7 linked regions of the Ovis aries genome follow. The protein of the gene in region 2 interacts with the protein of the main gene of each other region in a pairwise test. Links are inferred from orthologs where the notes say so. Each region holds a gene or a part of one and is shown on either strand. Other genes may lie near its edges. The genes, in order: ABI2, EFS, SORBS2, NCK2, TSSK1B, SH2D3C and OSTF1.

Evidence for each region.
Region 1: the proteins of EFS (region 2) and ABI2 interact in binary tests that used the Homo sapiens proteins (3 or more experiments, as listed by UniProt). The link is inferred for Ovis aries from reciprocal best matches to the Homo sapiens genes EFS and ABI2.
Region 3: the proteins of EFS (region 2) and SORBS2 interact in binary tests that used the Homo sapiens proteins (3 or more experiments, as listed by UniProt). The two-hybrid records come from large-scale screens. The link is inferred for Ovis aries from reciprocal best matches to the Homo sapiens genes EFS and SORBS2.
Region 4: the proteins of EFS (region 2) and NCK2 interact in a two-hybrid assay, tested with the Homo sapiens proteins (2 studies listed by BioGRID and IntAct). The two-hybrid records come from large-scale screens. The link is inferred for Ovis aries from reciprocal best matches to the Homo sapiens genes EFS and NCK2.
Region 5: the proteins of EFS (region 2) and TSSK1B interact in binary tests that used the Homo sapiens proteins (3 or more experiments, as listed by UniProt). The two-hybrid records come from large-scale screens. The link is inferred for Ovis aries from reciprocal best matches to the Homo sapiens genes EFS and TSSK1B.
Region 6: the proteins of EFS (region 2) and SH2D3C interact in a two-hybrid assay, tested with the Homo sapiens proteins (2 studies listed by BioGRID and IntAct). The two-hybrid records come from large-scale screens. The link is inferred for Ovis aries from reciprocal best matches to the Homo sapiens genes EFS and SH2D3C.
Region 7: the proteins of EFS (region 2) and OSTF1 interact in binary tests that used the Homo sapiens proteins (3 or more experiments, as listed by UniProt). The two-hybrid records come from large-scale screens. The link is inferred for Ovis aries from reciprocal best matches to the Homo sapiens genes EFS and OSTF1.

Annotation. Positions count from the first base shown.
Region 1 is NC_056055.1:205,385,167-205,388,680, forward strand, and holds part of ABI2 (abl interactor 2), read left to right. Parts: intron 1-2,958; coding exon 2,959-3,135; intron 3,136-3,514. UniProt on the Homo sapiens protein: Regulator of actin cytoskeleton dynamics underlying cell motility and adhesion. Functions as a component of the WAVE complex, which activates actin nucleating machinery Arp2/3 to drive lamellipodia formation.
Region 2 is NC_056060.1:21,376,010-21,379,523, forward strand, and holds part of EFS (embryonal Fyn-associated substrate), read left to right. Parts: coding exon 1-178; intron 179-432; coding exon 433-573; intron 574-690; coding exon 691-1,413; intron 1,414-1,778; coding exon 1,779-1,868; intron 1,869-3,102; coding exon 3,103-3,514. UniProt on the Homo sapiens protein: Docking protein which plays a central coordinating role for tyrosine-kinase-based signaling related to cell adhesion. May serve as an activator of SRC and a downstream effector. Interacts with the SH3 domain of FYN and with CRK, SRC, and YES.
Region 3 is NC_056079.1:15,069,829-15,073,342, forward strand, and holds part of SORBS2 (sorbin and SH3 domain-containing protein 2), read right to left. Parts: intron 1,526-3,514; coding exon 1,499-1,525; intron 1,266-1,498; coding exon of another isoform or gene 1,197-1,265; coding exon 1,141-1,196; intron 411-1,140; coding exon 1-410. UniProt on the Homo sapiens protein: Adapter protein that plays a role in the assembling of signaling complexes, being a link between ABL kinases and actin cytoskeleton. Can form complex with ABL1 and CBL, thus promoting ubiquitination and degradation of ABL1.
Region 4 is NC_056056.1:60,725,249-60,729,305, reverse strand, and holds the start of NCK2 (cytoplasmic protein NCK2), read right to left. Parts: upstream 2,806-4,057; 5' UTR 2,685-2,805; intron 2,556-2,684; exon of another isoform or gene 2,337-2,555; intron 2,207-2,336; exon of another isoform or gene 1,999-2,206; intron 1-1,998. UniProt on the Homo sapiens protein: Adapter protein which associates with tyrosine-phosphorylated growth factor receptors or their cellular substrates. Maintains low levels of EIF2S1 phosphorylation by promoting its dephosphorylation by PP1.
Region 5 is NC_056070.1:72,619,541-72,623,772, reverse strand, and holds TSSK1B (testis-specific serine/threonine-protein kinase 1), read right to left. Parts: upstream 2,810-4,232; 5' UTR 1,168-2,809; coding exon 64-1,167; 3' UTR 31-63; downstream 1-30. Other genes in the region: DGCR2 (integral membrane protein DGCR2/IDD), read left to right, coding at 3,478-3,556. UniProt on the Homo sapiens protein: Testis-specific serine/threonine-protein kinase required during spermatid development. Phosphorylates 'Ser-288' of TSKS. Involved in the late stages of spermatogenesis, during the reconstruction of the cytoplasm.
Region 6 is NC_056056.1:8,439,461-8,443,561, reverse strand, and holds the start of SH2D3C (SH2 domain-containing protein 3C), read right to left. Parts: upstream 2,805-4,101; 5' UTR 2,670-2,804; coding exon 2,633-2,669; intron 233-2,632; coding exon 1-232. UniProt on the Homo sapiens protein: Acts as an adapter protein that mediates cell signaling pathways involved in cellular functions such as cell adhesion and migration, tissue organization, and the regulation of the immune response.
Region 7 is NC_056055.1:61,718,055-61,722,354, forward strand, and holds the start of OSTF1 (osteoclast-stimulating factor 1), read right to left. Parts: upstream 2,805-4,300; 5' UTR 2,618-2,804; coding exon 2,584-2,617; intron 1-2,583.

The sequences.
Region 1 (3,514 bases), on a different chromosome or scaffold from region 2:
TAGTCTTGTGATGTAGGATTTAGTTTATAAGTTCTCGCTCTACAAATTAATGTTTTTCAAGTGTGTGGATTTAAATTTTATAATCATTGTGCTTTATTAAAACATTATTTTGTTTATGGAGGGAGTCAAAGTTATTAAGATATTTTGAGGTCACATTTTTTTTCCACATTTGAGTCCAAAATACTATGTTGGGGGAATCTAGAGAAAAGGAATTGAAGCGAAGAAATAGAAGTTTAGTCAGGTCAAAGATGAGATGACATGTATATAGGAATGGTTGGTGTCAAGAGTTGTTGTTACGGGTTGTCTGGTAGAATGGATAAAGACCAGTAGATATTAGATATCTGAGGTATTTTCTAAACCCTGCTGTAGTTTCCTAAGATGTAGGCAGTCTTTTAGAGTAGACAACTAGAAATGTGTAACCAAACTATTTTGGCTTTCTAAATGTAGAAATACGCTGTTAAGAATTATGTTTTAAAATATGCCTTCAAGTTTAATGAGAATTAACATAAGAAACAACAAAGAACATTTTTCTCACATTTCCTTCAACTAGTTCCTTTAAGAGTTCAGTGCTGGGCAAATGGTCACTTTCCTAATGAAGGGGTATGCATTTCCTTGTAACTCATTTCTGTTTTGCCTTCTCTAGGAATCTAAACTAAGAGCCTAATTTTATGCCCCATTATAGCAGCTATCCATTATTTAGGATTATTTATGAAAGTTCTTTGATCATTTCTTTTGCCACATTGGTTTTCCTTTTATGCTGCTTGTAATGGTTTATATAGCTTTGGGCTGTGTGTTTATGTGTACATAAAGAGAATAGATAAGTAATATGTGAGTGCCTACAGTCCCTAGGTATAATCTAATTGTTTTCATTCTTTTTAGAGCCTCAGTTTTTTCAAAGAATGTAAAATACATGTTTGTTACAAAATATAACTATATATTAGTGCAAATAATAAGTGAAATGTTACCCCCCTCTTCATTCTCCGGAGACATATTGATATTTCTAGCAGGAAAATTTGAAATTGAAGTTCCAGTGTGCCTCAAACTTAGAATTCTGTTATCATTGGTTAGGTTTACATTCTTATATTTTCATTTCTGGGTGAGATAATTATATTTTTAAAAACTAAGCAGAATGAAAACAATGTTGAAAGATTACATTCTCTAATAAATTTTCTTTATTGATATGATAGAGACCAGTTATATACAAAAAATAAGGGTCATATTTTGTGTTTTTAGTTTATTTTGAAGTATACTTGACAAATATAAAATTTTCCCAGCTCATATTTTTAATAATTTCAGAATTATTCTTTAGAAATTATTCAAAGTAAATGTGGTTAATTTCTATTTTTTCTGAATTTAAAAATAACTAAATCCCAATATTGTCACTTATACACAAACTTCTTTCTTCTATTATAGCTCCCCCAACCAATGTAAAAGGAAAGCAGATTTTATAACTTATCTAATGTGCACAGAAAAAGTTCAAAGCCTATTTTGGTCTTAAAATGAAATACTTATAATGCTAAGGTCTCTCCTACCTTTGCCAATATTTGATCTGATGCTTCACTTAGGTATTTATTAGTTATGCACTCAAAGAGTCTGTTGCCTTTAAAATCTCTTGGTTGAAGGTAAGAGGCTTCAAATTTGTTTCAGGTTTCCTTTAGACTTTATGTAGTTTAGAAGGATAAGTAATCAGTGTTCAGATTTCCTAAAGTTGTATTTAATATTGTCATAATGTCCTAATATGACATAATAATGTCATAATATTGTCTTTTATTTTCATTTCTGTGTTACTACCTGGCTATTCTTTAAGAAAGGGTAAATTGAAGTAGGTTTGGGGAAGAATCAGCAATAATTCCTGCTTAAGCCATGAATGGTGGCAAGAGATGTGAACAGTTTAGTGAAGTATGTTTGAAACTTTTAAAATTGAAACCCACAGTTAAACATATATCTTATATTCCATCCGTACACACTTTAATGTATGTATTTATGTACATAACAAATATTTTAAGAAAAAAGTACCTTACAGTGTGTATGTTGTCTGATAGTTCTGTTCTTTTTGATTTAAAGTAATTGCTGCTCATTATCTCACTAAATTGCAACTTGCAGTTTGAAACATGCTGTTTTAGTGTATTAATTGCCTGTGCTTATGGAGAAATTCACCCTCTATTAGCAAATGGAAAATAGAGTAAAAACACATTGTTATGTACTAAATTATAGCCTGTTTTGAGCATTTAATAAAATAATGAAAATATTTTACTAGCATTTTGTCATGATAAAATATAAGCAACTTTACCTCAGCACACTTGTTTCTTTGTAAAAGATGACTTATATTAACATTGTATTTATATTTTAGGCCTTTTTAAATAAAAAGCTATTTAAACACTAAAAGAAGTTATACTAATAGGTTATCTTTAAATGTTACCAGATTAATTGCTGGTACTTTCTTAATTAGGCTAAATCTTAATAGAGAAGGAGAAAATTAGCATGCTTTAACCTGGAGGTTGGTAAGCTTTTCCTGTAAAGGGTCAACTAATGAATGTTTTATGCTTTGCAGGTCATAAGGTCTCTGTTGCAGCGTTTACCTCTGCCATTGTTTTGTGAAAGTATTTAAGCAGGTCGAATGACTGGTATTGCAGTAAAATTGTTTATGGAAACTGATACTTGAATTCCATATAATCACGTCAAGATCTTATTTTTCTTTTGACTTCTTTTAACCATTGAAAAATGTAAACACCACTCTTGGTTTTTCGGCTGTAAAAAGATGGGTGATGGGCCAGATCTGTTTTGTCTGCCAGGATTTCCCAACTCTTTTAGCCTGAAAATGGGGAAAGTCAGTATTGGTCCCAAAAGGAGAAATTCGTAATTGCAGTTAAGAATATGAATAATGATGTTAAATCTACGTATTTATGTTTTTATTTTCTGGCTATCAGGGCTATACATTTTTGTGTTTATGTTTTGTAGACCGTTGATATTCATAAAGAGAAAGTTGCAAGAAGAGAAATTGGTATTTTGACTACCAATAAAAACACTTCAAGGACACATAAGATTATTGCTCCAGCCAACCTTGAACGACCAGTTCGATATATTAGAAAACCTATCGACTATACAATTCTAGATGATATTGGACATGGAGTAAAGGTAAGCATAAGTTCTGTCAAACATTAAAAAAAAAAAAAAAAAAAAAGCCCATGATGGAATTAACTCTTTAGAAAATTAAATGCTTATCTTTTCTTTCCAGAGGATCATTCTTGGCCTAGTTGTAGTTCTGAAGATTTCTTACCACTAATAACTGTGTTATCTTTCTTTTTAATGCTGGGTTCTCAAGTTTTAAACAGTCGTCTTTGAGTGAATTGCATTTGCTTAACCAGTTATGAATATACCTCATGTACATCTGGAAATAAATGTAGTATTATATTTTAAATCCTTTAATGATTTAATGTGACTAATTAAATACTATTCAGTATGTTAGTAAAGTATTTGCTTTATCTCAAAAATATCAGCAAATTTCTGGCATTAG
Region 2 (3,514 bases):
TGGTGGGCTGGATGGCTGGTGCCTCTGCTCCCTGCATGGCCAGCAGGGCATCGTGCCTGCCAACAGAGTGAAGCTCCTTCCCGCTGGCCCAGCACCCAAGCCTGGCCTCTCCCAGGTGCCCCCAACCCAGCCAGGCTCACCACATCCGGCCCCGGAGCATGGCAGTGAGGACCAGGAGGTAAGCACTGGAGCCCCCCAACCCTGATTCTGGACAACCTATTCCTCTCTGCTGCTTCAGGAGGGACAGAAAGAGCCCTGAGACCCCCAGCCCTGCACTGACCCTGCTGTTCAAATCCTGTCTGCCAAGTCTTTCTGGGCTCTTTCTCCACTGGCACAGGGAGGGGGTTGGAAGGTGTCTAAGCTCCTCCCAGGCGCACACTATGATTCCCTGCTCCCCACTCTACCTGACCCTCCTGCCTGTCGATCCCCCAGTTGTACGTGGTGCCACCCCCAGCTCGACTCTGTCCTACCTCGAGACCTCCAACTGGACCCTGCCCACCCTCCCCTGACCCCATCTACAAGGTCCCCAGAGGCGGTGGGACCCAACTGGCTGCCCCTGGAGCTGCCTTGGAGGTGAGGGCTAGGGGTTCATGTGTCTGTTGGACAGGGGACAGATGGCTCTCGGAGATGGCTTAGGGGAGTGGGGGGCCCACTGCCGAGCCTGAAAGTAACTAACTTCTCCCTCTGCAGGTCTACGACGTACCCCCCACTGCCCTCCGAGTTCCCTCCAATGGCCCCTATGACTCCCCGGCCTCCTTTGCCCGCCCTCTGGCTCAGGTTGCCCCCCAGTCCCTTGGAGAGGATGAAGCTCCCTATGACGTGCCTCTGGCCCCAAAGTCACCATCAGACCTGGAGTTAGATCTGGAGTGGGAGGGGGGCCGGGAACCAGGGCCCCCCCTCTATGCTGCCCCCTCCAACCTGAAACGAGCATCAGCCCTGCTCAATCTGTACGAAGCACCAGAGGAACTGCTGGCAGATGGGGAAGGCGGGGGCGCTGACGAGGGCATCTATGACGTCCCCCTGCTGGGGCCGGAGACACCCCCTTCTCCAGAGCCCCTGGGAGCTTCGGCCTCCAGTGACATGGACACCCTGGCCCTCCTTCTGGCCAGAAGCCCCCCAGCCCCACACAGACCCCGGCTGCCCTCAGCCGAGAGTCTGTCCCGTCGCCCCCTGCCTGCCTTGCCTGTGCCGGAGGCCCCCAGCCCTTCCCCGGCTCCTTCTCCTGCTCCAGGCCGGAAGGGCAGCATCCAGGACAGGCCCCTGCCCCCACCCCCACCGCGCCTGCCTGGCTACGGGGGCCCCAAGGTGGAGGGGGATCCGGAGGGCAGGGAGGTGGAGGACCACCCGGCAGGACACCACAACGAGTACGAGGGCATCCCAGTGGCTGAGGAGTACGACTACGTCCACCTGAAGGTGAGCTTGCCTCAGTCAGCACCCACAGAATGCCTCCAGGAGAATGGGGGTCAAGACCTGAGGTCCCAGAGGCAGACCCTGGCTTCCTCCATTCCCTTCTTCCCCTCCGCTGACCCTGCACCCTGTAGCCTGTGACCCCTGTACTGGGCCACATCATTTGTATCAGTGCCGCAACCCAACCTGGGGTCCCCAAGCTCTCTGACCTGCCACTAGGGCTCTCCCAGACCCAGAGTCAGGAGGCTGTGGATCCGATGGGAGGAGAGACCTTCAGGAGGAAGTGGGAGTGGGGAGGAGTGGGAAGACCACGGGGGCTGCCTTGCCCTGCTCCCCTACCCCTGCACTGAGGCCCTTATCCCCTACCGCAGGGCATGGATAAAGTTCAGGAAGCCAGGCCTCCAGATAAGGCCTCCCCAGGGGATCCTGAACAGCTGGAGAGGGGGCCGCCAGAGCAGCAGGTAACCCGGTGCGGTTGGTGCTAGAGAAGGGGGCAGGGGAGGAGGAGCAGGAACCTGGAAGAAGGGGTATTCTTAACTGAGGCATCGAGGGAAGTCTATTTAGGAGAGGGTAAGAGTTCAATGAAACAGGACAGTTGGGGTGGAGAGGAGTTAGAATCCAGAAAGGAGCTGGAACTTCGAAAAGGATATCAGGAATTCAGAAAGAGAGGAAAGAATGTGTTGGAGAGGAGTCAGAAAACCGAGCATTCGGGGGGGGACAGAGTTTCTGGGCCGGGTGACTTCTGAGGCTCCTTCCAACTGTGAATTCCTGGGTTCCTAAGAGACCTGGGTCTTAATTCCAGCTCCACCACTAAGAAGCCAGGGCCTCCGAAGCCACCAGTTAATCTCTCTGGGTCTCAAGGAAATGAGACTGTCTCCTCGACTCATGGTCTAGAATGGTCCTAATCGCCATAGCTACCATCTGTCACGTTTGTACCAAGCGCCAGAACCTGTGCTAAGTACATTGCACCTGTCAGCACTGATCATAGCAATAGTTAGCACTCATACGGTGCTTACAGTTTGCAGTGCTGTGTTCTCAGCTCTTTTTGTGAAGATCAGCTAATCTTCACTGCAGCCTTAGGAGGCAGAAACAAGAACTGCAGGATCCAGTGTGGTAACCACACGCCACATGCAGCTACTCATCCCCAAGTGTGACCAGTCCGAACTGAAATGCACTGTAAATATAAAATGCACACCAGATTTTGCAGACTTAGTATGGAAAGCAATTTCAATAATTTTTACATTAATTACAGTGTTGAAACTACACCATTTTTAATATATGGAATTACAAAATAGGTACCAATTTCTTTGTAACTTTTCTAACGTGGCTACTTGGAAATTTGAAATAGCATATGTGGTTGGCATTATGTTTACATTGGACAGTGCAGTACTAGGCTCCCCGTAGATAAAGAAGATAAAGGAAGATAAAGAAGATAAAGGAGATAAAGGAATGATGACGTTCAGAGACTTGTTTCTGAGGTTGTTTGAATCCAGATTTATCAAACATCAATTCTGGGCATCTTCCTGTCACTCGCTAAGAGAATCTAAGTTGTCTGATAGGAGAAGGTACAGTTTAAAGGGGTCGAGCTCAGGGAGAAAGGAAGGCATGAGGAACAAAGGGAGGGAAGGAGAAAGGAAATAAGAACGGAAGTGGCACTGGCCAAGCAGTCCTGCTGAACCCTCTTCTCGCCCTTAGGAGGCCCTGTCCCCTGGGGAGCCACTGGTTCTGCCCACTGGAGATCTACAGCTCCTGCACTTCTACGCTGGGCAGTGCCGGGGCCACTACTCAACACTGCAGGCGGCCGTGGCGGCCCTGATGTCCAGCACCCAGGCAAAGCAGCCCCCGCGCCTCTTTGTGCCCCACGGCAAGCGGGTGCTGGTGGCCGCCCACCGCCTGGTGTTCGTTGGGGATACCCTGGGCCGCCTGGCAGCCTCTGCCCCTCTGCGAGCACAGGTTGGGGCCGCGGGCACAGCACTGGGCCAGGCATTGCGGGCCACCGTGCTGGCCATCAAGGGGGCCGCCCTGGGCTACCCATCCAGCCCTGCAGCCCAAGAGATGGCGCAGTGTGTGGCAGACCTGGCAGGGAGGGCCCTGCAATTCACCACTC
Region 3 (3,514 bases), on a different chromosome or scaffold from region 2:
TTGGGAAACTGCGGAGGACTAAAGGTAATGATGCTTCCTGGATCCTGGTTATGGATTAGTTTCAGTGTGGAAATTCTCCGAGTTTGAGAATCTTGGGTGTAGTCCTCTTGGAGAAATGGGGTACTCATATCAGCTTTTGGTGGGGGACCTGTGCTGGAAGGTGGTGGTAGTGGATTAGTGATTTTTTGTGTATATGACACGGTTGTGTTAGATTCTTCAGAATATACAATTGTCTGGCTAGAATCATCATTAGAATACATAGTTCCCTGGAGCGGTGTTTTGTTAGTAAAGAACTCTGTACGAGATGGAATTTGTGTGTTAGTTACTGATTGGTCTAAAATGTCACCCTTTGTATGATTGGTTATCAAGGAGCTACAAAAGCTCTCTTTTCTGGGTGGTGGAAGGGGTGCCTGGGTTACCAAAAGCATCCAGAGAAAGAAATAATGTTGAAGGAAAAACAGAGAGAAAGTCAAAGTTAATCATTAAAGAAACCAGTGTTAACTCTACCCTTAAAGAAAGTAAAGCAATGTCATACCTTCTTATTATGCTATACATTTTGTTGGCCAGGTTGAATGATCACGTTTATTTCATTTAGAATGCATTTTAATTTATTGTCAATAGTTGCCTTCTGGGGGAAAATAGTTTTATGGAGAATATACTATCAAGTTTGTCTCCATCTACTTTCTGGGAAATTAGGTTAAAAGTGAAAATATTTTCTCTTGGTATATTTTCAGACCTTGAGATACATATACAGTATTTACTCACATTGTTTTGGTAACACGTTTCATGCCTGTGACAGTTTTACTAATAACTCATATTTATTCAGTAAATATATTGCTGGCCTCATAACTTTGAAATCCAAATCATCAACTAGCTGTTTTTCTAAGAATTAGAAAATATCCTGAAAATTATATGCTATATCAGAAACTGATGTGCTTTTATCAGCTGAATCAGAAAAAAAGAAAAATCAATAACCTGTTTTGAACTTAAGACTTGTCTTCCATGTTTTAAATACAAGTCAATACAAATATAAAAGCAACATATTAAGAATAAAACATATCAAAACATGCGTGTTACTAGAAAAGAGACCCTAGAGCGGTGGTTTAAATTAACACAGTAGACAGCAGTGTGCAGGATTACCTGAGTTGGTGATTTTTTTTCTTGTAGATTTGGTCGAACGCTTCTAAAACCTTTTGCTGCAAGAGAGGAACATGTAGCATCTCCATTCAGTGTCTCTTGATTTCGATCATTGTAACATCTCCAAGCTTTTATTAAGAGAAAACAAATCGGATACAAAAATATCTACATTCACTTTTAACATATTTTTAAAATAAAATTTATTTTCATTTCCAAAATTGAAATTTTCTTTTTAGACGTTAAAATGTGTAACTGTGTATGCAATTTAAGTTTACTATAAGAGTAACAATGTGGCTATGAATATGTTTTTTTAAAAAACCCACAACAAATGTAGTAGTCATTCAGAATAGTGTTTTGGTACCTGAGTCTGGTGACTGAGAATCACGCCCTAAAAGAAAAAGAAATGTCAAAATTAGTTCTCTGGTAAAATGAACAATGCAGTAAAGATCATTTAGCAAAAAACCATGTACATTTTGGTTTTGGGGCAAACATTATCTCAGTTCTAAAACTCTGGGTATATAAAATATACTAATGGAAATTTGTGCATTTGTTTTTACTTCAATTAGATTAGAATTAATTAAATATGATATATAATTAAAACATATATCAAACACTTATCTTCCCCTCAGTATTACTGCAAGAATTCAATTTTATCTTATTACTGCTTAAGGTGAATATATGAGTTTTTAAATATCAGTTTGAAGGATCAAAAGTTTGGTAAACAATGAATGGTTCTCCTAACAGTGAATCAAACCACCAGATCCTTAGATTTCAATGCCATCAATTTTTTGTAGCTTTAATTCTTCTGTACTTTAAGAAAGTGTAAAATACACTGCCATATTATGTGATATTTTCAAATCACTCTTAGACTTTGAATTTTCTTCTTATTGCCATTTAAGAGTGATTTTATATTCAACAATGAAAAAGCTGTTTCAAGTATTCTACTGTCTTGCAGTAAGCATTTCAGTACTAATAAATTGCTTTTGATAATACAGCTGGAAAGCAGCCTGATGACATATTTACTCTCAGTTTTATTTGGAATTATACTTTCAAGAATCTCCTATAAATTATGCACAATTTTAGGTACTCAGTTGGTATTGCTTGGTTCTATGATAACCACGGGGCCAGCTTCACCTAGAATCATAACGCCTTAATTTTGGAAAGGATCTTAGAGATCATTCAGCCTAATCTTCTGTCCAGGTCCTGGACGTTAATGATTCAAATTTACTTTTAAGTGAGTGGTCCTTTAGGATTCCTTAGGTGTACAAATATTTCAGTTTCTTTAACATAAACCTAATTTTAGATATATAAAACGCTGAGTGCCAATTTGCTGCTTTACTAATATTATAGTTCTTCAGAGGAACTGAAAATCATACAGCATCCCACATGGACACTGTTCACCATAGCTCTGTTTTTATTTCACCCCTGCCAGGAAAGCTTAGGAAAGGGAGGGCAGGTGTGATTTGGAGTGGATAATAAGAAGCATCCTAGACACATGTCAAGTAAAGAGAATAGAGCTTTTTGGTTATTTTTTAAAGAATTGGCCAGGTAAATAACTTGGCAGATGCTTGGAGAAAATGGTTTTGTCTAATATTTTGAACACTTATGACCATTCACTTGTGAAAAAAAAAAAACCCAGCTAGAATTCTAGGGATCAGAGCCTTTAATTTTTAGTATTCTTTAGTGGGTGGTCATTGCTTCTTTGAAAATTTAAGAATGAGTAAATGGGATGGATTTAATGTTCCCTGGCTGTTCTGTGCGTGAAAATAGTCTTTGAGAACCAAGAACTTTAACTGCTCTTCCCTCTTACAACAAGCACGCCCTGTATGCTGCAGAAGGTAGCAAACACGTCAGAGAAGTTGTTAGGGCCTTCCTGGCTTGGTGTCGGGGACTGGACTTCATGTCCTTAAGCGGTCCTTTCCACCCTTATGATTCAAACATTATTATTTTTATGTAGCTGTGTTTGCAGTACCCCCTACCTCATAGTCTCTATTCTTGGGTTTTACTTAAATTTCTTTATGATATGCTATATTAGATACTTTTCTTTAAAGCTATGTTGATTTTAATTCTTATAGCCCCTTTCAAGTGGGTTCAAGTGGCTTGCAAGAATTAAATGTATTAATTAAATTCAAGTTAACTTACTGAATGGCTACTGTCTTTGTCAGTACTATGATAAACCTGTCCATTTATTTTCTTCATTTACCCTCATTTACTTCTGACAAATCCTTATGAGTTTGGGAAATGATTGTTTTTCTAACATTTTCTATGCTCACATCCACATGAACAAACAGGTACAAATATATAGATATAAAGATATTTTTTTTCAAACCAAAATGAGATCATTACTACATCCGTTGCAATGCAATTTATATTTTTT
Region 4 (4,057 bases), on a different chromosome or scaffold from region 2:
TGATGCATTTGCTGGAAAATCTCAGTCATCGCTTGATGCAAACAACAGAGGCTGGGAAACATCACAGCTTCCAAGAGAGGAGGGATGAAGAGACCTGAAGTGCAAGGCATGTGATAAAGAAAACCTCAAAGTCTGACAAGTGAGCACAGCTACTTGAAATCACCTTAATCAGGCCCCACATTAAGTGGGGAGAGAAGGTACTGGGTCAGTCTGTTCTCTGGACGCAATTCACCACCCGACTTCATCCCATGTTCCAGGAGCAATCCCGCAGCGTGTCTAGGGAGCAGCTGAGAAGCTTGAAGCCCAGATGAGGCCTCTTTGGTACCACCAGCTTACCACCGCTTTAAGTTTCCAATTTCAGCCTCAGCTAGCTGCAGCCAGAGGACCGCTAAAATCTGGCAACTTTGTTCAGTCAATGCTGCTGCTGCTGCTGCTGCTGCTAAGTTGCTTCAGTCGTGTCTGACTCTGTGCAACCCCAGAGACGGCAGGCCACCAGGCTCCTCTGTCCCTGGGATTCTCCAGGCAAGAGTATTGGAGTGGGTTGCCATTTGCATTCTCCCTCAATTAACACTACATCTAATCAACCTGGAGAGGAGAAACATCAATGTAGGATTTTCCCTCCCGGTCACTGCTTCAGAATCATGGTTAACACTCACATCTGGGGAAACCCCTGTTCCGACCACCTAAAAACCTACATGGACAGCTCAGTCTCGCAGTTGAACCCACTTCATCTCCTGTGCACCACTGCCCTCCTATTTACTAAACCCTTGGCCCAGGCTCGATTCCTGTTATTAATTTACCCGTTTATTAATATCTGGGGACACCCGGTAAGTGAATTACGGGTAGTGTTTGGAAATAAAGTTTAGGTCCGCTGTGATAACTCAAAGCACCAGAGTGATTTCATTTTCAGTCTCTTTTAGCCTTGAAAAGCCCTGTTGCCAACGATACCTGATGCAGAGGGACAAAACACGCCTCAAATTACTCTCATTCCTACTAAATCCCTTTGGCGAAGCCGAGGAGGAAGCCGGGCAGGGACCAGGCGGGACTCTGCTACCTCGGGGTTCCCACCCCAGGCCACACCCCGTAGCCTCTCGGGGTTCACTTTCTTTGGGGTCAAGGGCAGGAGTGGGCCTGCGCGGGCCCAGCGCTGAGGCCTGCTCATCCCCTGCGCATACCCAAACTTGCCAGGCTCAGCCCCAAACCTGTTGGCAAAATAAACAAAGGCAAACACAGGGGACCCGACCTAGCCTGAGTGCCAGAGGTCGCCCCGCGCCGGCTCCAGCTTTGTCCCCACGCGGACGAGCTGCCAGTGAGCCCAGAGCCCCGGCACACGCGCAGCCCTTTCAGGGCGACCGCCACGGTCCACACACGAAAGCGCTTTGCAATCACGCCCCCCACTCGCTCCACGCCGAATGCGCTCACGAGGGAGTTACCGTCTACGCCTACAATCACACACCGAATTCTTCCAGAACCGCTGGGTGGTTCGATCGCCCAGAATAAGCTACCAGGGCAGCGCGATCGTGAGAAACTTTGTTTCCGGGGCCGGCGATCCCCGGTCGGACGCGGAGCCCGGCACGAAGCGCCTAGGGGCCGCGGGAAACCTCCCGGACGCCAAGTGACAGCAGCTCCGCGCGGGGTCGCCAACAGTCCCGATCCCAGAAGTTGTGCGGGCCGCGCTCGCCTCCCGGTCCTGCCTGCGCGGGGCCGGCGATCCACGCGGTCCTCGCCGGCGGCGCGCCCGGCCTCCCCGGTCCCCGCTCCGGGACCACCGCGCAGGCCTGCCCCGCCCGCCCGACCCGGGGAGGGGGCGAGCCGGAGGTGCCCGCAGCCGCGAGGCCAGGCCGCGCAAGCGACCGGGCCCCCAGCCCCGGCTCCGGCCCCGGCGCGCCCCGCCCCGGCTGCCCCGCAACTCCGCGAGCCGCCCAAGTTGACGGCCTCCGCCCGGGCCCCAGCCCCTGAGCCCCGACCCTCGGGCCCCAGCCCCCGGCCCCCGCTTACCTCGCGCGCCGCGCGCCGAGGCCGGGGCAGCGGCGCGGGTCCCGGGCGGCGGCCGCCCTGCGCCCGCCCAGGCGCCGCTCTTTGTCTGCGCCGCTCGCTCCTCCCGCCGCTCGGCCGACGCTCCGGCCCGGGCGGACCCCGCGGGCCCGGCCGACCCCCGCCGCCGAGCCCAGCGCCCGCCGGCCCGCTCGGCTCCGGCCTCGCTCCCGCCGCGGCGCCCCCGCCCCTCCCGGCTGCGCCCGCCGCGCGCCCTTCCTCCTCCTCCTCGTCCTCCTCCGCTCCGCCCAGTGACGCCGCCGGGGCCGCCCAGGCCCGCGCGCCCGCCGCCCGGGACCCACCTGGGCGCGCACGGCGGCCCGGCTCGGGCGGCGCCGGGGCTGGCTCGAGGCTCAAACGCGGGCGCCGCCCGGCCCGGAGGACCCTGCGCGGGGCCGGGCCGGGCCGGGCGCCGAGGGGAGGGGAGGCCCAGCTCCGACCCTGCGCGTCCGGGAGCGAATAGGAAGACGGGAGAGGCGAGAGCAGCAGCAGCCCGGCCTCGAAGGACCGACGGGTGGTCTGTCCATCCCCTTTTTGTTTGATTTTCTTATCAGGACGCGCTGGGGCTTGGCCACCGCCCCCTCTCCCGGAAGCCTTCCCACGGCACCCTCGGCGGAGCAGGCCTGCGGTCCATCAGAAAAGTGACTTACAGAAAAATGTCACTTCCTCCGTGTAGTTGCTTCTGGGCATTTTTATTTATTTGCCTCGTATCTATTTACTTTCCCAACCAGACACTTTTTGACTCCCTCGTTATCGTCGGAAGCAGTTCTTAAAAGCAGAAGAGGAAACCACAATGTCTGTTCCTCCCTCTGTGTCCAGCTCAAACCCGCCCACAGGGCGAAATCCTGGGTGGAACTGCAGGAATGTAGGTCCCAGGAGTTGTCACTGGTGGTGGGACCGTCGGGCCGCCTGGCCACATGCTTACCTGTAAACACACTTGGAAGACTGAAACCCAAGAGGAGGGGCAAGACACAGGGTTCCTTAAACAGGCACATGTATCCAGATGTCTGTCATCAATCTCCCCCCACGTGGCTTCCCCAAAGGAAATCCTACTATTCAAATGATTCTGATATCCTGGTGGAATAGGCCGGATCCATGTTAATGAGGGTCTTCCTTAGGCTCCTGGCCTCTCATTATATTAAAGCAATCGTAGTTTACCCCAGGTGACAAGATGATGTCACTGAATGAATGCCTCTTTCCCAACACAAGTACCCAAGGAGGGTCCTGGAGCCAGTATATCTTTGAAGTCCCAGTTGAGTGTTTGACTGTCTGGTTCTTCAACTGTGGAACAAGAGTTTCTTACCCTATCTAAAATCTATCCAACATGGAGATAATATTTGCCCAGCTCCTCTGGAAGTCCCTGGCATACTTCCAGGCAGTAGGAAGCACTCAGTGGTCAGTGGCTGGAGGGGATCAGGGCACTGAGCCACCATCAGTCCAAGGTCAGGGTGTCAGAGACAGCCACCTGTTCTACATCCTTGAGAAAGAAGCTTCCTCAGTCTGTTGTTTTGTGAAAACTTTGTCTTCCTAAGAAGGAAAGCAGAGTTTATAGTAAATGGTCTGGCCCAGTTCTAAATTAGTTTACTCAAAATAGGTATAACAATATTGACCCAGTTTTTTGCTACTCCTCTGCTTTGTAACCTTCACTGAATGGAGAGTTGAACTCCTCTTCCTTCTCTGGGTCTTTGTAAACTCACCAAGGACATTCTCTGTCTGAAACCCAACATCTCTTTCTCAGTCTTTATCTGGTGCAGTTTTCTGTGCACATTGCATTTCTGCTGTTTCCTAAAATGCAGTCATCTATCTGTTCATTTATCTAACATCACTACCTTTCTAACTTATCCATGTTTGTCCTTATCTGGCATGTTCTAACCTCCAACAGTTATATACCCAAAACAATATTGGCCCATTTGTTTTCATTAATATGTACCTTTCTTTTTTAGAGAGGCTCAATCATTTTTTTGTATATTTCCGGTCTGATTTTCGGGGGTTAACTTTCAAACCTACAGCCTTAGGGAGCTCC
Region 5 (4,232 bases), on a different chromosome or scaffold from region 2:
TCGGGCTCGGGGCCCTGAGCTCGGCCTCATTCCCTGCCGGCCGCCTGGGCCGCAACAGGTGGGCTAGGCATGTGTCTCTGAAGGCTGCGGGGGCGCCCCCTCCTCGGTCTTGCTGGGTTGCTCGCTGGGCAGACCCACGGCCTCTGACTGCTGGGACACCTGCACCGTCGCAGTCTCCTCCTCGGGGCTGGGCTCAGTCCGGGGCTCCGGCCGTGCCTCTTCCCGGGGCTCCAGCTTGGTGGCGGACTTCTTGTCGGAGCTGGGTTCGGGGGTCCACGGGGGCTCGGCGGCCCGGGAGCCCTCGCCCTCCTTGTTGACGGCTGCGGAGGACAGGCCCCGGGCCTTGGGCTGCACCCAGCAGTGGCTGAGGACCTCGTCGATGTGCAGGCGCCGGGTGACGTCCGGCTGCAGCATGCGGTAGATGAGGTCCTTGCACTCGCCCGTCAGGTGCTTGGAGCGCGGGAAGTTGACGCGGTGCTCCTTCTGGACGCGCAGCATCTTCTTGATGTTGGAGTCGTCGTACGGCATGGAGCCGCAGACCATGATGTAGAGGATCACGCCCAGGCTCCAGATGTCGTACACCTTGGGCTGGTAGGGGATGCCCTGCAGCACCTCGGGGGCCGCGTACGCCGCCGACCCGCAGAAGGTCTTGCTCAGCGTCAGCCGGCCACTGTCGTCCCGCAGGCAGCGCTTGGAGAATCCGAAGTCGGACAGCTTGATGTTGAAGTCCTTGTCGAGGAGGAGGTTCTCGCACTTGAGGTCGCGGTGGACGACGTCCAGGTCGTGGCAGTACTTGACGGCCGAGGACAGCTGGTGGAACTTCTTGCGCGCATCGTCCTCCTGCAGGGCCCCGCGGGTCTTGATGAACTCGAGGAGGTCGCCCTGCACGCCGAGCTCCATCACGATGTAGACCTTGCCGTCGGACGTCTCGAAGATCTCGTAGGTCTTGATGATGGAGCGGTGGTTGAGCATGGCCAGGATCTCGATCTCCCGGGGCAGGAACTTCTCCAGGAAGTCGGTGGGGGCTCTCCTGCGGTCGATGATCTTGACCGCCACGTTGAACTTGAGGCGCTCGGAGTAGGCGGACTTGACCTTGGCATAGGAGCCCTCTCCCAAATTGATCCCCATGATGTAGCCTCGTCGCTTGAGGACGGCAGCGTCATCCATGGTGCCGGGAGCGCCCAGTGCCCCTGAGGCTGCCCTCTACATCCCTGCGGGACATGAGCCAGCGCGTCCTCATCTACACTGTGGGCAGAGTCCTCTGGGATGCCCGGGCCTCCCGTCCCTGCCTCCTAGAGGCCAAGACTCTGGGGTGGAACGTTCGGCACTGTTTCCCGGGTGACTTCAGTGGGTGAAGTCATAAAGAAGAAGTGCCCTGCGGAATGGGTCTCCAGCCTGAGCCGCTCGACCTTGGAACCCTGCAGCAGACGGACGCCCGCGGAGCGCGGGGGCCGAGGTAGGAGGGGCCGCGGGGACTGCGTCGGCTTGTGTCGGCTCGCCCAAGCCTCCACACCAGAGCCAGGACTGCTGGGGGCAGGGGGGCTGCTGGGGCAGGGGGGCTGCTGGGGGCAGGGGGGCGATGGGCTGACTTCCTGCACCCCAGGGCATCCCTGGAAGTCCGGGCAACCGTCCCAACCATCTAGGTCTCAGCAGCAAACGGGAGACGCTCAAGTGAGGACTGCCTGCGAGGGTTTAACAAGAGGATGATCTCCCCACCCCCACATGGAGCCGTGTCCAGAACCCCGAGTGGGTGATGGGCCCTTGGATGAAGGGACGGTCGTTTCTGGAACCCGGGGACAGTGGTGCCCGGAGGGCCACCTTGACCAAGGCGGTGACCTAGGTCATCTGCCCCAGGAAAGGGGCTGGAGAAAACCTCCCTGACCTCCTCCTGCTCCCTGTGGCCCTGGAAATCCTCCGCGGTGTCCACACAGGCAGGTGGACTGAGAAGGGGGCTGGGGCAGGAAGGGTCCCCTCCGCCTTCCTGCTGCGTGGTCTGGTTGGACTTTTCACTGCCCCGTGCTGCTCTCCTCTGAACCTTCTCTGGCCAGCTCTGCTGGGGACAGCTGACCGGGTCTCTGCCCTTGGCTGTGAGGCCCCTCCCGGGGGCCTGCCCTGTCGTAGCCCTGGCTGGGCTCCAAGGGCAGGTCTGGGGGTGGGGGAGAAGGTGGGTCTGGACTCCTCTGAGAGCAGCAGCTGCTCCCGGAAATGCCCTCTGAGGACAGGCAAACAGGGCAGTGTTGAATGGGAACCACGCTTCCTGCCAGGAGTGGGTCCTCTCTGCTCTGGGCCTTGCTGTAGGGGAGGGCGGGATGGTGCGGGAGGGCAGGAGCAGGCAGGCCTGGCAGAGCCTTGGGGTCAGTCCGGTGCCTCTCTCAGATGACCCTGAATGTCCCAGGCTGGGATCCTGGGGTGCTCAGGAGGATCATGCCCTGAGGGGCTTGGGGTGACTGCTCCTGGGGAGCCAGCTGCTGACGGTCTGGGTGCACCGCCCATCCCCGCCTCTCCCCTCCCTCTTTTCTCCGCTCCCATCTTCACCCTCTAACCACCCTGACGCCCAGGCCGGGCCTGCTGCGCGTGGTGGCCGGTGGTCTGTCCTTCGGAGGGCTTGCTCCTCCCTCGCTGGTACTCCATCTGCTGGGTCCCCTCCCGCGGTGACAGGTGCGCGGCCAACGCTTCCCTCCGTGCGGAAGAGCCTGCTGTGGCGGCAGCTGAGCCAGCGTCTCCCCCCGGCCCCGCTCGGTCCCCACTGTGCAGGGGGCCCCCCTCCAGGGGACCGGGCGTCCCAGTCGGCTCTCCGCGCGGGACCCTCCTCGAGCCTGCTTGCTCGTCGGTATGCAGCACTCCAGTTGCACGCGCCGGTGAAGCGGCACCTGCGGAAGCGCCTCCCGGGGCCACCTCGGAGGTTCTCCAGGTCTCCTCTCCCCTCACCGCAGCGGTTCGGCCTTTAAAGCGCCACTTTGGGACGCACTCTTGCAAGGGCCCTTCTCAGGGATTCCCAACTCCGCCCCCGCCCGGGGGCTCCCTCGGAGCCGCGCCCCCGCGCCGCTCCCGCCCCTCCGCAGCTCCTGCTCCGGCAGGCCCCCAGGAGGCCCCGCCCCCGATCCCCGCCCTTCTCTGGTCAGCCAATGGGGCCCGCGGCTCCCCGTAGTCCCGCCCCGGCGGGCCCGCCCCCGCCCCGCCCTTGGGCCGCGCCCCTCTCAGTCACTGCGCAGGCGGAATGCGCATGCCCCGCCTCCGCCCGGCGCTGATTGGCTGGCGGCGGCGCGGGCGGGGGCGGGGCGGTGCGGGCCGAGCAGGACGGCCGCCATCTTGCGCGGAGCCGGAGTCGGAGCCCGAGGCGGCGGCCGAAAGCGCGCGCCCGCCCGCGGCCCCCCGGAGCCCTCTCCCCGCGGCGCCCTCGCCTGGCCCGGCCCCGGCCCGGCCCGAGCCCTCGGCCCGGCCTGCGCGGCCGCCCCGGGGACGATGAACGGAGGATAAATGGTGCCCAAGGCGGACAGCGGCGCGTTCCTGCTGCTCTTCCTGCTGGTGCTCACGGTCACCGAGCCGCTGCGGCCAGGTGCGCGCCGGGGGGCGGCCGGCGGGCTCGGCCCGGGCGCCTGGAAGCCCTGGCCGCCCGGGTCCCTCGGACGCGTGAGGCGCCGCCGAGGCGGGCGTCCTCCGAGGAGAGCCCGGGTCGGGAGCTGGGGTCCGGGCCGCAGAAGGTCCCGCTCGAGCCTTACCTCTTGTTTCCGATGTGCACCCCCCCCCCACCTCTGTCCGCGAGAAATCAAGAGCCCGAACGCAGGGCTCCCGTCCGGCGCAGAAGGCCGGGGCCCGCCGTGCCCCGGTGGGTTGCAGGGGTTCTAAACTCAGCGGGAAGGAGCCCGATGCTGTAACGCGCACGCATAAATGCGTTCGTTTTTGTATCGACGCGGTTGCAGAGTGAGGTTCTTGACCCTGTTTAGTGGAGGAAGGGGCCCATTTCGTGGGTGCTGTCGGGACTGCTTGTCCCCAGCAGGTCGGGGAGCACGGCTGGGTGCAGGCCCCAAGCGGGCTCCCGGCCCGGGCGCGCTGCACCTCGCTGCCCCTCGCCATCTGCCGCCGAGCGCCCCACCTCCTCCCCCGGGTTCCCTCGGCAGCCAGGGCACCCCTCACTCAGTTGGAGTTGGAGGGGCCAGTGATGCTTCTGGGGCGGCGGGGTGACTGGCTGCGGGGTGGTCTTGGGAGAAACTGGAGCCGGCACCTGTGCAGGA
Region 6 (4,101 bases), on a different chromosome or scaffold from region 2:
CCCTGAGCCTTCTTGATGCTGGGGCGAGGCATGGTGCCCATGTGGCTGTACATGTCGCTGGAGCGGGCATAGGCTGCGGGGCTCTTGGGGACTGTCACCATGTCATCCTGTGTGGCATCAAAGGTGTCAGCCTCCACCTGGGGCCGGATACTGTTGGGGGCCAAAGATCGTTTCAGAGTAAAGGACCGAGGAAGGTTGGAGAGACTCCCAAACCCCTTGAACTTGAAGAACTCTAGAAGGGGGGAGGGGAGGGAAAGGAGTTAATGACATTGCCAGCAGTAATAATAAAAACAATGAAACATTTGTGCAGTTCCACTTACTGAGGGTTCAAGGAGGGTTGGGAGCTTCACTGACACCCCCTCTAGGAGTTACGGTATAATATGGCACCACTGGGATCCCATAGCCTTTGAATTCCACATCCTAGCTTTGTGACCTTAGACAAGTCACTTGACCTCTCTGAGTCCCATTCACCCACATCAGTAAGATAGAGATTATAGTATTCATCCCCCATGGCAGGGGCAGGGGCAACCTCTGGGCTGTGGACCAGTACATCCTGGCAGATCAGCAATGGTATTAGACTAGAAATAAAGTGCACAATTAAGTCTAATGCACCTGAATCATCCCCAAACCATCCCCCCCACCATCCCCAGATGGTGGAAACACTGTCTTCCACGAAATTGGTCCCTGGTGCCAAAAAGGTTGGGGACCACTGTCCTCTGACAGTGGAAGAACTGAAGAAAGGCATGAACTCAGCATGTAAATAACATGCTTCATAGCCGTCAGAAGTAATGAAGAAAGATGGTGATGACGATCACATAAAGGCCTTTGCATTTGTCAAACATGCCACCTTCATTAATTACTTCCCTGAATTCTCAGCACAACTCCATGACACAAGTTTAATCCCCCATTTTCCAGATGAAGAAACTGAGGTTCAGATCGGTGACATGAGAGCACATGTGTGTGTGTGTGCGTGTGTGCGTGTGTGTGTGTGTGTGTGTGTGTGTGCGTGTCAGGGTCGGGGGGGGTGGTGTGTGGAGTGGGTGTTTGAACGAGGCTCTGAGGTGCCCCTGAGGTGCGGATGAAATGAAAAGGGGGCTGTCGGGTCCCTGAGGGTCCCACTCCCTGCGGTTCTCTCCTTCCTGTCAGCTGAGCCCTAGTGGGGACTCAGGCGGCAGTGCTCGGGTGATACCATCTCCGCGTTTCCGCAGGGGTGCGCCTGAGCGCCCGCCCTCCTGCCTGCTCTCAGCTGTGGGACTGCCCCTCCTCCTAGCCACCACCTTCTGCCGGACTTCACCACGGCCCCTCCATAAGCAAAAACGAAAACACCCTGGCATTTCCCACTTCCTTGGCATCCTCCACCTCGTCAGATCCTCACGACCATGGTGGAACATAGGTGGGATGGCCCCATTTGACGGAGAGGAAACTGAGGCCCAGAGAGGGGCAGGAATTTGCCCAGGGTCAGAAAGCCAAGCAGAGCCTGGCCGAGGGCCTGGGGCTCTGGAGTGCTGGGGTCAGGGCTCTGGGGCTTTCCTCCCGGGCCTGCCCACCCCCACCCCACCCTCAGTTATAGCCTCTGCCTCCTGACAAGCGCTGTCAGCAGATGCTGAGGCTCTGCTCTTAGAAAGCTACGCCAACGAGCAAATCGCCTCCTTTCTCCAGACCTCTTGTTTTGTCTCCCGGGCACCGGGGGTCTGGAGGAAGCAGTAGTGGGCAGGGAGGGAAACTGAAGTCCAGGGTCCAGGGACGTGAGACTGAGCCCTGCTCCGTAACCCTATATGACTTCAGGCAAGTCTCTGGGTCTTTCGTCTGTGGAATACAGTCATAATCTTTGCCTTGTACACTCCCCTCATGTGCTGTCAGATCCAAAGCATCATAGGGGGCCCTCCCTGTGGTCCGGTGGCTAAGACTCTGTGCTCTCAATACAGGGGGCCTGGGATTCGATCCCTGGTCAACGAACTAAATCCCACATTCTGTAACTAAAAAGATCTTGCATGCCACAATGAAGATTGAAGATCCCGAGTGCGATAATTAAGACCCAACACAGCTAAATCCATATCTAAATCTTAAAAAAAAAAAAAAAAAAGAATCAGAGGGAGCCAAAGTTTGCTGGGACCAGGAAGGAATCAGCAACCTGGGGAAGAAAGTGAAGGGTGAGTGTGGCCCCTCATTTAGTTGCTCTGGGTCCCAGCATCACTGCTGGTGGGGTCATGGGGCATTACCCATGGCACACACCCCTCCCCCCACCCCAGCCCCAGCAACTCCCAACCTGAGACCCCCATGTGAACCAGTACAGAGGCAGGCAATGGAATGCGTGGAGGTCTTCCCTGGCCCAGCCTGGAGGTCAAAGGGAGCCAGGGGACACACAGACGAATGGAGAGACTGACAGTTGGGTGGGGAGAGACGGAGGAATAGCGACAGACAGAGACAGACAAGAGAGAAACAGAGATGGAGAGCCAAATCAGCTGGAGAGAGAGATTAGGCCAGAGGGATGGAGAGACAGCACCATGGAAACTCAGAATCAGAGTCCTCCAGAGAGAGCCAGAGATGGACAGAAAGAGAAACAGGAACAAGATAGAATGGGGAGAAGCGGATGCAGAGAGGCTGAGACGGACAAACGGCACCCCACACTCACTGAACTTCTTGCTGGGCTTCTTGGTCCCCTCCGTCATCTTGGCAAGTCGTGCAGAGCCCCTGACCGAAAGGCAAGTGGCCACTTGAAGCTCTGGACATCAATGCTGGGATGCCTCTCTCACCTCCCCTTCCCCTTTCTCGCGCCCTCTCACTAGCTTCCTCTGTGTATTTTTAAACCAGTGAAACTCTCACAGCCCCACCCTCCCCATCCTCTCCATAGGGGGCGGAGGCAGGGCGCCCCCCCTCAAGTCCCAGCCCCTGTGGGCCTCCTCCTTGGCTTCGGCAGCGGGGGGAGGCAGGGGGCAGACCACAAGCGCGTGAGATCTAGAAGGTCTGGGAAAGAAACCGCAGGCTCTGGGAACAGAGCCTACTGGGCTGGGGGCCTCCAGGGACCTGACAACCGCTGTCGGGGGGTCTGGCCAGCGGGCTGGGAGGGTGCAGGGAGTCAGGCCTGTGGGCAGAGGGGTTTATTCTAAGCCTCAGTGCTGCAGGATGTGCTGGCGGTGGTGGCGAGGGGAGTGCCATGGTTTGGCCCGCGAGCCCTGAGGCCAGCCAAATTCAAGTCTTAGCTGCCCCCCTCTGTCACCGTGTGATCCTGGACAAGTCCCTCCCTGAGCCTTAGTTTTGTCTCTGTGAGCGAGCGGTATTTGCAATGTCCACCTCACGGTGAAAAGCCTGGCACAGAATCAGTGCCCTCAAGGCATGGTCAGTCCTTTTCAAGCTGGCAGGGACATGGCGATAATTTAGTCCACCACCCCGCTGTACAAGGACAGGATAGGAAAACCGAGACACAGGCAGGCAGAAGGCCCCCAGGTCACACAGCAAGTCGATAGCACAGACTGAGCAACACCCTGCCCTTTCAGGCCCCTAACCCTCAGCCTGGTGTTTTTCTACCATGCATCCCCGTGTGTGTGTGTGTGTGTGTGTGTATGTGTGTGTGTGTGTGTGTGTACAGGACAGAGATGAGGAAATGAAACCTCCCCTACACAGGTTGTCCCTGACACCTGCGGAAGATTCCAGCAACTGCTGGGGGGCACCTGAAAGACCAGGGGCTTCAGATCCTGTCTCTGAGTGCAGAATTACTTCTGCCTCTGACTTGGACACCTAATTTCTAGAATAGGCACGAGCATAAGGTACACAGTCAACCCACGGGGGCTCTCTCATGATCGGACATTATCATCCTGGCCCCAGGGCTGGCCCACTGGGGTGTGAAAGGAGAAGTTCAAGGTCAGGTGGGGCCCCTTGTACATCCTCCATAAAAATAATGACTACTAATGACTAACGTTTTCTGATCACCTAGTACGGGCCAGCCAAAGGGCTCAGTTCTTCTGCCCTAAGGAGGCAAATACTGTTTTTCTTGTCCTCATTGTACAGATGTGGAAACTGAGGCCCTGCCCCGAAATCAAGTGACCTGGAATTGGGACCTGCCTGTCCAGCCATGGAGTCTGAGGTCCTAGCGTGCACACTTAG
Region 7 (4,300 bases), on a different chromosome or scaffold from region 2:
GTGTTTCTTGTAGAGATGTCCAGTTCACGGCAATACTTAAAGAGAACCCACCCATGAGAAGTTCATTTCAGATCTCACTACCACTGTAATAACTCTTCTCAGAGCAAGTAATACATTTTAATTTTATGAACACTGAGAATCTTAGTAATTGATCTGTTCTCTCTCTCTGCTTGAAGCAAAGAGCCAAATCTACAGGCCTTCTTTAGAAACTTTGCAAGTTCTTACAACATGCATGTCTGTAAGATAACTTTCTCTCCAGTTTCCTCTTGTTATTCTTCCCTCCTTCTATAGGACCCCACTTCCTGCATCTTTTTTTTTTTAATCAAGTCTCATTCAGGATGAGGCAGGGGTGCAAACAAACCAAGAAGCTAAGAATTAAATACACCCTGCCTTCCAATTCCAAGTTTGCTTTTGACATTTTCACCCATCTATCTTGCCTACAGGACAAGAAAGTCTGACTGAGGACCAGAGACACTCTCCTTCCCACTTCCTGCCTACCAGGAAGTACACATGATGACAGGAGTTAATGGTAGGCTTTGATGTAAAGCACAGTAACATCACAGTTAAGAGCTCAGACTCTGGGGCCAAACTGCCTGGGTTCTAATTCTGCCCACTCCTCTCCACTCAGTGGCTAATCTTGGGCACCTTAACTTGACCTTTCTTGACTTAGCTTCATTTCCGCATCTGTGAAATGGGAACAATGCAGGTACTGACCTCATAGGGTTATTGTGAGAGGTAAATGAGATAATACACGGAACGTGCTTAGATCAGTGCCTGGCACACTGTAAACGAGAGCCAGGACTATAATAGTCCCCTTCTGTTTTCAACTAAGCCAGGCCACACAAAGTTTCAAGTTGGATTAAAAGTAATATTTCTCACTGTAAATAGGTCACTGACAGATTATTTCTAGGGTGATCTTATTTTAGTTTGGATCTCATTTACAAATCAATGTGGAGTCTGAATAGTAGTCATTTTTTAACCATTTGCTTTCTGATTTACTGAATAGAAGGAGAAAGCAGGAAGGTCAGACAACAAAAATGGTTCCTGAGAGTGTATTTCCAACTGGTCACAGTGTGATCCCTACACCCAGGCAAATACACAAAAACATATCACATCCGTGCCCCTCCAGCTGTAGCACAGACATCACCGAATGTCTAGAGATGAAAAACCTCATGAATGGCTTCTCAGGACCTTCTCTGAAATAAAGTACTCTGTTCAGTTATCAAAGAATAACTCTGTTGTGTTGATTACTTGAGGTCCTGATTTATACTTAAGTTTTAAAAGCTGCCATTTTCCACAAAGGCACTTAGAAGGCAAATTCCTCATCAGACTCCATTTCTAAAGAAACACAGAGCCCAATCCTAGCCATGTCCCACCTTCGCAAACACCAGAGCCAAAGTCCCAGCAAAGTCACACCCCAGTCCACCAAAATTCAGGTTCTGGGTGACTGACTATGTCACATATGCGAGTGTGTACAGAATTTTCAAATAAAATGACTTGGAACTACCACTGCATGATGGTGAAGAAAGAGAACTGGATGAAAGTTGAACAGCTTGACTAAAGTTTAGAAAAATCAAGAAAAAAATCAATCACTGAAACGACTCTCTCAATCAAGGTTACTTTGAAACTGGATGTAAATAGATTTCAGATTTCAGATTTCAGCCTGTAACATACTGAAGTTACCTAAGACCAGGAAGAAAAAAGCTGAGAGTATGTCAGAGCCATTTCTCGTCCATTTTCTACGTTTTCTGTAATCACCTACCCAATGAAGGTATGAGTTTCTTACAGTATCGAACTGAAATGCCTCAGTCCCTTTTAAATTCTTTCTCCCTGTCCCAGAAAATATTCTAGGGATCGAAGAAGAAATGAACAAGGAACATTCGCCAAAAGACCTGCTTTGAGGAAATCTCACCCTTTCCAGTTTAACTCGACAAACTCACAGAGGGAGTAAAGCAAAGGACTTGTTCAGCACTATAAAGTGACATTTCCGAATAGAAATAACTGAGATTACGCTGCCGCAGCCTAGATTTTTCTAGTCAGGAGCTCAACTACAGTTTCCTAAACGCTTTTCCCAAGATCTTAAGGTCAATTTGCTGCTCCTCTCTAAAGTCCCAAAGGAGACTCGCTCACCCACCCCACCCTATAAGCAGCGCACTTCCCGTTCGCTTTGGCCGGTCAAGAACTCAAACTTGACAGTGACACACAGTGAAGGAAAAAAAAAAAAAGAGGAAGTGGATGAAGAAAAAACCATTTCAAGACTTTTTTCTCCCCCCTAAGGGAGATCAATGGCCCTGTTTTCCAGGAAAACGTCAATGGGACGTAGCCATCACATCGATGGGAAAGCTGCAGCGAATGGCAACGCTGAAAAACCGAGGGTGACTCCTCTTTAAAAATGAAAATTTTCAAATTCCTCGAAAATCTTGCGATCTGTCTCCTGGAGCGAACGCAACAAATCCCACCCTGGTGCGTGGATCGCGAAAGTGAGGCTCGGGGCCGGGTACGTGCCTGACCTGCCCTGCCAAGGGGGCAGAGGGAGCGCGGGGCACCGCTACCGGCCCGGGATCCCCCGAGCACCTCCCTTACCTGGTTTGACTGGTTTGGGTGGCGGCTTCGACATCTCTCTTCCTGGAGCGGCTGATTCTGAAGACCACGCACGGAAAGTCAACCAAACGTGCCTCCAGCCGACACTCTGAGCGCCTCAGTTTCTTTTTGTCTGCTTTGCAGCGGTGCGCCTCCAGGGACCGGTGTCTACTCTCGGCAGCCGGACAAACCGAGGCAGGCAAGGCGGCTCAGCGAAGTGCCCCGCCCCGCCCCGCCCCGTGGCCGACCGAGCTGTCCGGGGCGCGCGGCCCCGCAGACGAGGAAGTGGCCGCCGCCTAGCCGAGTGCTAATTGGCTCCCCTGCTGCCCGCTCCGCCGCGGCAGGAGCGCGGGCGGCGCGCACGGCGGCGCGCCGGGAGGCAGAACCAGACGGAGCCGGACCGGGAAGCCGCAGGCTCGCGCCGGGGCCGCCCTGGCCGCGCGCACCCTGGTCGGGAAAGGGCCGGACAGGGCAGGATCGCGCGCGCAGGCGCGAGGCCACGCACGCCAGAGGCCCGCCCCGCCCAACGCCGGCCAGAGCCTGCTGCCGCGTCCGCTCCAGGTGGTACGGAACCTAGGTTGGCCTTCTCTACCCTGGGCAGCCTCTGACCCGGAAGGGGAGCGGGGAAAGAGGCTGTGCGCCTCTTGGTTAACGAGCTTCAGGGGTTGCGGCGGGTTAGTGACAGGCGCGCGCGTAGCGATCGCCTGTGCCGCTTTGCTCGGGAGCAGTCGAACGAACTAGCGCCCGGTGAGTAGTACCTGCCTGACTCCGCGCTCCCCGCCACGCAGACTCGCTGGGGCCTGGAGGTGTTTCCAGAGTGTTCCTGCGCTGGAGCCTGAGCCTGGCCGTGTCTTGCAAGCTCTGTCAGGATATCTACCACCCTAAATAAACTGATAAGTGGCCTGCCCAGGAGAAAGTGTTGTCCTAATGGGGTACTACTCTCACGCCCCCTAATAATCCTTAAAATGGGAATCGGTCTTCTGGAGACCATACAGGTTTTGGGGAGAAGTCACTGGGGTAGGGGTGAGGTCTTGATCCCTATCGGAGGAGGCAATCTTCCTCCTTTAGAGTTGAGAGTGACTGACGGAGGCCCTCGTTGTTGCCTGTTACTGTATAGCCTAAGAATGATTTTCATGTTTTTTTTTTTTTAGGATGGATTAAAAGAAATCAAAAGAAGTAGAGTTTGTGGTACGTGGGAATTATATGAAATTCAAATTTCAATGTCCGTAAAGTTTATTAGAACACAGCCACGCTCATTTGCTTCTGTATTGCCTGTGGCCACTTTCACTTCCTAACAGCAGAGTTGAGCAGCTGCCCACGAAACCCAAAACATTTACGGTCTAGAACTTAGCAGAGCAAGTTTGCCCACCCCAGACCTAGCAGGTTGAATCTCCACTGGGAGGCAGGGGCTAGAACAGACAAGAAACGCAGCGGGTGAAAATTTAGAATAGTATAGGCAATATGATAAATCACTTGTATAGAGGGGGGGAGATAAAAATTGAGAAGAAAACCCTTTGCATGAGAGTCTAGGTAAAATGAAGCTTCGAAGTCTACTAGGAATTAAGTGAAACAGTGATTACAAGACAAAGGGGCAAGGGTTGTGTATTCGGACAGGCAAGCCTTGGTGTTTACCAAAAGGGAGCAAAGTTTAAAAAAAAAAAAAATAGTAGAAAAAGACTTCCCTGTCACATAGAAAGTAATCAAAATGTTGAAGAAAATA